Saccharomyces cerevisiae S288C: one gene and its partner. The protein of the gene in region 2 purifies or fractionates together with the protein of the main gene of each other region. This does not show direct contact. Each region holds a gene or a part of one and is shown on either strand. Other genes may lie near its edges.

What was found.
Region 1: the proteins of MTF1 (region 2) and MOD5 fractionate together in Saccharomyces cerevisiae (co-fractionation; one large-scale study listed by BioGRID). This does not show direct contact.

The regions. Positions count from the first base shown.
Region 1 is NC_001147.6:835,462-839,460, forward strand, and holds MOD5 (tRNA dimethylallyltransferase), read left to right. Parts: upstream 1-2,212; coding exon 2,213-3,499; downstream 3,500-3,999. Other genes in the region: TPO4 (Tpo4p), read right to left, coding at 1-970; RIM20 (Rim20p), read right to left, coding at 3,623-3,999. UniProt on the Saccharomyces cerevisiae protein: Catalyzes the transfer of a dimethylallyl group onto the adenine at position 37 in the anticodon loop on a specific subset of tRNAs both in the cytosol and the mitochondrion, leading to the formation of N6-(dimethylallyl)adenosine (i(6)A).
Region 2 is NC_001145.3:722,629-726,422, reverse strand, and holds MTF1 (RNA polymerase specificity factor), read right to left. Parts: upstream 1,798-3,794; coding exon 772-1,797; downstream 1-771. Other genes in the region: RRP5 (Rrp5p), read left to right, coding at 1-489; TATA-binding protein-associated factor TAF7, read left to right, coding at 2,038-3,794. UniProt on the Saccharomyces cerevisiae protein: Mitochondrial transcription factor that confers selective promoter recognition on the core subunit of the yeast mitochondrial RNA polymerase. Interacts with DNA in a non-specific manner.

The DNA of each region.
Region 1 (3,999 bases), on a different chromosome or scaffold from region 2:
CACTGAAAACAAATACAATAGGTTCAACGACAAGCATTTTTAAAGGCCTTAAGATTGTAATAGTGACAGTGGTTTTTAAAAATTCTTTCTGAGCTTCCCTGCTGAACTTCTTCAAGGCTATATTTCTCTTCTTGGCACGCTTTCTTAAAATAATACCTTTATGGGTCTCTGGCATGAGCGCAATAAATGGCAAGATTAGACCGCCCGCAATCAATTGGATCCATTCAGACCAACGCCAGCCTTTGGCTTCAGTAGCAAATCCTGCCATAATAGGAGATAAAACTGGCCCTAAGAATGGAGATAGAACAAAGTATGTCATTGCGACGGAGACCTGGTCCACGTCAAAGATATCCAGGATGGTACCTGATCCAACGGATAAGGCGGGGGATGCAAAGACACCTGATAAAAACCTTAGGGGTAGAATTATTCTCATGTGGCCATTGGATAACCCAACACCCATGGTGAAAAGCATTGACACAGGTAGGGAAAATAAATAGACAGGCTTACGACCAAACACTTCACTTAATGGAGCGCCGATGACAGTCGATAAACCCAGAAGATAGAAAGTTAAACCAGCAAGCGCCAAAGTCTGACTAACGTGATATCTTTCTACCAATTCTGGTACGGAAGAAACATATAGGGAACTACCCATTGTGACGACCAAACAAAGAAAAGCTGAAGTCATAGTAGTATACCATTTCTTCAAAGAGGACCAATTATGCGGATTGTCTGGGTCATCGGGCCCGTCCCAATCGAGATCTCTTGGGTCAATTGGCTCGCCCCCTGTCATGTTATTGGAATCTGCATTCGGTTCTGATCTTTTTTCGTCCTCTGTTATTGACCCTGTCGAAGAAGAAGTCGAATCCAAGTTGCCGCTATTAGTTACATTTTTGTCCAAGGCTTTTGGTACCTGCTGTATGTTTGTTCGAGGATCTGAGTTAGATTCGGTTTTTGTCAAAGAAGAAGGCATTAGTAAAACTTAAAATATATGTATACGATGTCTATGCTTCTTTGTGTGTGTATGTGTGTGTATAAGATGGTATCTTTATTCTGTAATTTTCAGGAAAGTGATGACTAGAAAATCGATGTGTCAGGTACAACAAATTGACAACCTATAACTTTCCATACAGGCGAATATATATATACACATAAACACATTCAAGCCTCCGGTACCGTTTGCTCTGACAAGGACAATTAGCATGTAAGCACGAGTGCGGGTATGCAATCATTTCAGTGTTTCCTTCATTTGGCATAGTGTCGTAACACGGATTTAAGGTGAGCCGTCAGGGGCTTTTAAGCGGAGCCCCTGCAGCTTCATGAAGACGGAACCGCACGGGCCTATTACCTCGGGGATAGATCAATTATCCGAAGCGGGTCACAACCCGGAAATAATAACCACTATGCCCGACCGTACCGACGTGGCACTATTTTTGGGATCCGTGGAAGTCGGCCATTAGTGGTAATCGGCGAAAACAAGTTTATTGCAGCTAAAGCACGCCATACGGTTGATATAAACAGCAATTAGGCACTTTTTCTCTTATTATTCATATGCCTTATTGGCTTGTGGCTTGTGGCTTGTAGCCTATGCAAATGCATTTGCTGATAGCAGCATAAGAAAGTTGGGAAGAAACGCTAACTGTACTTTTTATATCCAGAGTTCATTAGTTGATCTTTTACCCCAATAATTTCTTCCACTTGCGGCCTGCTTCTTCGCATTTCTCCCATTCCGGGCCGCGACTCCGTAGTTCTTACAGAAACAGCCGCCTCCATAACCATCTATGATAGGAAAAAGATGGACAAACAGGAAAAGAGCTAGGGAGTATAACCTGATTCCTGACATGTATAGGATTCGGGTAATTTTGAAATACGAAGCTCTTTGCATTCCGAGACCGGTTTAGGAAGATTTATTTACATATCTACTTGCGCTATTGTGGTCATGCCTTCGAAAGATAAAGAGCGAATTTTGCTCGTATAAGCTAAAATCAGGTAAAAGTTCCTTATGTTGCTGCTCCTCGATGGCAACGTCGATCTAAGATCTTGATTACTGAATCAGGCGAAAGCACACGTTCATCTTTCGCTCATCGGAAAGAAAATTAAAACAGAAAAAAATTCTAAAATGGCAAAAAAGAAGAAAAGCTCAGTGAGGGCTGTATAGTTTATTAGATAAGCTACTATACGTACATATCTTTTGTAAATAGAACCAAAAATCTTCATGCTAAAGGGACCGCTTAAAGGTTGCTTAAATATGTCTAAAAAAGTTATAGTGATTGCTGGTACAACAGGAGTAGGAAAGTCTCAGTTGTCCATACAATTGGCACAAAAATTTAATGGCGAAGTTATCAATTCGGATTCTATGCAGGTATATAAAGATATTCCTATTATAACAAATAAACATCCGCTTCAAGAAAGAGAGGGCATTCCTCACCATGTAATGAATCACGTAGATTGGTCAGAAGAATACTATTCCCATCGTTTTGAAACTGAATGCATGAACGCTATTGAAGATATTCACCGGAGGGGTAAGATACCCATCGTTGTTGGGGGTACTCATTATTATTTGCAGACTCTTTTCAATAAGCGGGTCGATACGAAATCATCCGAACGTAAGCTCACAAGGAAGCAGCTCGATATTTTGGAATCGACTGACCCTGATGTGATTTATAACACACTTGTGAAGTGTGATCCTGATATAGCTACCAAATACCATCCTAATGACTACAGGAGGGTACAACGAATGTTGGAAATCTACTATAAGACGGGCAAAAAACCAAGCGAGACATTTAACGAACAAAAAATAACTTTGAAGTTTGATACCCTATTTTTATGGCTATACAGTAAGCCGGAGCCACTTTTCCAAAGGCTTGACGATCGTGTAGACGACATGCTAGAAAGAGGCGCCTTGCAAGAAATCAAGCAATTATATGAATATTACAGTCAAAATAAATTTACGCCGGAGCAATGCGAGAATGGTGTTTGGCAAGTTATTGGCTTCAAAGAATTCTTACCGTGGCTAACCGGGAAAACTGATGACAACACAGTAAAATTGGAGGATTGTATAGAAAGAATGAAAACGAGAACACGTCAATACGCAAAAAGGCAGGTAAAATGGATCAAGAAAATGCTGATACCTGACATCAAAGGCGATATATACTTACTGGATGCCACTGACCTTTCTCAATGGGACACGAATGCATCTCAAAGAGCGATAGCTATTTCCAATGACTTTATTAGCAATCGACCCATCAAGCAAGAAAGGGCACCTAAAGCCCTAGAGGAGCTGTTGTCTAAAGGCGAAACTACGATGAAGAAATTGGACGATTGGACACATTATACTTGCAACGTCTGTCGTAACGCAGATGGTAAGAACGTTGTAGCTATTGGCGAAAAATATTGGAAAATTCATTTGGGTAGCAGAAGACATAAATCCAACTTGAAAAGAAACACTCGTCAAGCTGATTTTGAAAAATGGAAAATAAACAAGAAGGAGACTGTGGAATGAAAATATTAGGAAAAAGGAGTTTATCCTGAGTGTATATATCTACATAAGTGAAGCTGGGTTTTGATAATGGAAAGGGAGGATGACAAGCTCAAAATATACTTTATAGATGAATGAGGACAGGTATCATTGGTCTTCAAATGTCAAACTCTTATCAAGCCTAGCTTTTTCTGCTCTTCTTGCTGTATCATATTCCTGTACCTCATTGTACAGATTGCTGGTAGAAGTAATTAAATTTTCGTAAAATGCTGTGCCGGCACTTAAATTTTCTTTCACCTCATCAAGCAGTTTGAAGGAATATCTCAGATCTTCAATATATAGCTCTCTGGGATCTATTCTTACCATTTTCTTTGGTTCAATCCCGCTTCTGCCGGGGTTATTCTTCTTACTTAGGTTTACTTCCTCAATAAGTTTGATATTTTCTTCCTTTGTACTATTAACGTATCTTAAATCTTCGTCAAAGTATTTTAAATGGCCTATGAAAATGGGTTCAAAGTCGACTG
Region 2 (3,794 bases):
GAATTATTCAAAGCTACAGCTAAGAAATTTGGCGGCGAGAAAGTTTCTATCTGGGTATCGTGGGGTGATTTTTTGATCAGCCACAATGAAGAGCAAGAGGCACGTACTATTTTAGGTAATGCTTTGAAGGCCCTACCAAAGCGTAATCATATCGAGGTTGTCCGCAAGTTTGCTCAATTAGAATTTGCAAAGGGTGACCCAGAAAGGGGTCGGTCATTATTCGAAGGTTTGGTTGCTGATGCGCCAAAGAGAATTGACCTGTGGAACGTTTACGTAGACCAGGAAGTGAAGGCAAAAGATAAGAAGAAGGTGGAAGATTTATTTGAGAGAATAATAACCAAAAAAATAACAAGGAAGCAGGCTAAGTTTTTCTTTAATAAATGGTTACAATTTGAGGAATCTGAAGGTGACGAAAAGACCATTGAATACGTTAAAGCTAAAGCTACTGAGTATGTCGCTAGCCATGAATCTCAAAAAGCAGACGAATAATTCCTGATGGATTTTTAACTGTAAAGTAATATAAATGGCTAAGTTTGTAAAGTATATTTGTAAAGTACATAGAATGTAAAGTTTCAAGAAGCAATTTCTATCGATCAATTTAGCTTTGACGGTTCGTAGAGCTCCTTTTCTTAAAGTTTTAGTTCCGCTTCTCGCTTCTTGATTACAAGATGGTTCCGTGTTAACGAAGATTGAGTTCTATGTATTTTTTATATTCACACGCTAAAATCACATATTTATTAAATAATGAAGTAAATTTTAAAAGCACTTTTTTCAACCAGAGTGCTCTGTTTGATACATATCAACAAAATCCATTAAAATATCTGGTTTGAAAGGCCACTCCATGAATAATTTCGTTAGATATATAAACTCGTCATTTGTCAAATCAATCGGACACTTTTTTAGCAGATCTTTGTCAGTGATTCTACTATTAAAATATTGTTGGCCACCATGTCCCAGCGAGTCCATGACAGTATTCAAGGGTGTTCTTTTCAAAATCATTAAGTGCCTCGTGACATAATCCCAATTATCTACGTCAAAATCGAAGTCAATTGGGTCCATTTCTACTAACGCAATTGGCTTTCCCTTTGTAGGCCATATTTCCGCAGCACTAAATAAAATGGGATCCCATTCTTCTATGCATTGACTATCAAATCCCTTCAATTCATTTGCGTCTGATATGGCAATGAGTTTAGTATCTGTAAATGCCTCCCTTACTACTGAACATTTGGATCTAGAATGCATGCCTGGCCTAGCTAGAAGTTTTCTAGCTGTTGTGCTTGGCATCCATAATAACATCTTTACTTTACCAAACCTATACAACCAGTTCTTGTTTCCAATACAGGACAGCCACTGCATTATAAGACCTTCAGAACCCTCCCCCGTCACATTAGCAACGGTTAGAAATTTATCATTAATATGATCTGAGGATTGAACTTCAGGAACAAATATTCGCTCTTCGTCAATTAGATTCGAGTAGGTTGACCAGTCATATGGATCTCTTTTTAGAATTTGCAATGGAGACCCTTCGAATTTTGCATTCAGAAACTTGTAGAGACTTGAGCGTTTTTCTAATAAAGAATATTGCCTGGGGCAATATTTATTATAAAAAATAGCTGATTGTATACCAACACCAGGGTAGAGGTCAAGTACTTTCAATTCTTCTGGATGTTTATACGTTTTAGTTAAATCCAGCTTATCAAAGATTTTATTGTATACTGTTGGATTCCATAAATATTTGAAACCATAAAAGAACTTAAGTTTGGAGATATCTTTAATACCAGGGATTGGAACAGACATAGTTGCTGAGCCTTCTTACTTCAAAGAATGGTATTGACTGACGTAGTAACCGCATTTGTAAAGTTTCATCTCTATTATCATCATACAATAATATCGCTGTTATTCGGCCGATGAGAACAGTAAATAAAATTTCAAGACAAAACTTGCTAGCAAAAATAATAAAAGCGAGAAGAATAGGAAGAACTACATAAACAAGAGACAGTGTTACCATTCAAATTAGTCGCAATAATCGACGTAAATATGGCTGTTATAAGAATTAAAAAACCCAGAGGACCAGGAGAGAAGGATCAACCATTAGAAGGCGAGCCTAAACTAAAGAGAATTCGCATAAAGACAAAGGTAACTGATGAAGATATCAAACCAAAGCCTAAATTAAAGATAAACCTAAAGAAAAAGAAAGAGAGTGCTGACGGCAAAGAGAAGAAGAATTCATTGAAGTTAAAGTTAAACTTGAAAAAAAATGAAGAACCAGTTAAGAAGATACACAAGGCGCCAAAGCTACGTCTCAAACCTATTAGAATTCCTGGGGAAGCGTACGACTCAGAAGCCTCTGATATTGAAGATGACCCTCTCATAGAGAGTGGTGTGATATTAAGGATACTTCCAGACATACAGTTAGAGTTTGTAAAAAATTCGTTAGAATCAGGTGATTATTCTGGGATAAGTATCAAGTGGAAAAACGAGAGACACGCTGTCGTAACAATAAACGATGTAATGTATGGTGCCATTCTAGTAGATTTGCCTACAGTTATAGAAGTGAACAAGAGCGTCGATAGAAAAAACCTCCTGAAGACATTTGACGTATCACAAATGCTACTATGCATAAGACCTATACAAGAAGAGGAAGAAGTATATGCCCTAGAAGCCCCTGATACAGAAGATCTGGTTGTTAAGCATTTTGAAGGCATAGAGGATGAAATTTGGGAGAATAAAGAAACCTTCTTAAAAGGATACAATGGTGCGCCTTTAAGTGATATGGAGGCTAAACATTTGAAAGAAATAGCTTTGAAGGGCTATGACTACAAACATGGAATATCACCACCTTTGTACAATGTTCGAAATAGACGATTTAGACGGAAAATGGACCCTAATGAAATAGACTATGTAGAAAAAGTGGTTGATATGCTTTTGAAGCAAGATAAACAGGCAGAAGAGGTCAGCTATGATCTGGTTGATAAAAGTGAACTGCAAGCGAGGCAAGAGCGTGTTTCTAGTTGGGAAAATTTCAAAGAGGAGCCTGGAGAGCCTTTATCTAGACCTGCTTTAAAGAAAGAAGAGATACACACAATTGCTTCGGCAGTAGGAAAACAAGGTGCAGAAGAAGAGGGAGAAGAAGGAATGGAAGAAGAAGAAGAGGAGGATCTTGACCTAGGCGCTGCTTTTGAAAGTGAAGAGGAAGGTAGCGGTGCCGAGGGAGACAAGGAGCAACAACAAGAGGAAGTCGGTGATGAGGTGGATCAAGACACAGGCGGAGAAGATGATGACGATGATGACGACGGTGACATTGAAGCTGCTGGTGGGGAAAGTGAATCTGATGACGAAAAAGACGAAAACAGACAGCACACTGAATTACTTGCGGACGAATTGAACGAACTAGAGACCACCCTGGCCCATACCAAGCATAAATTAAGTAAAGCCACGAATCCTCTTTTGAAAAGCAGGTTCATAGATAGCATTAAAAAGCTCGAGAAGGAGGCTGAACTAAAACGTAAGCAGTTACAACAAACCGAAGATTCTGTCCAGAAACAACATCAACATCGCTCTGACGCAGAAACTGCAAATAACGTCGAGGAAGAAGAAGAGGAAGAGGAAGAAGAAGAGGAAGAGGATGAAGTGGACGAAGACGAGGAGGATGACGAAGAAAACGATGAGGACGAGGATAATGTGCATGAACGGGAACACATACAAGAGAACAAGGTGGTGCGCGAACTTGATGAAGCCCCCGCAGAGGAAACACTCGACCAGAACGATCTCGATATGATGATGCTATTTGGTGC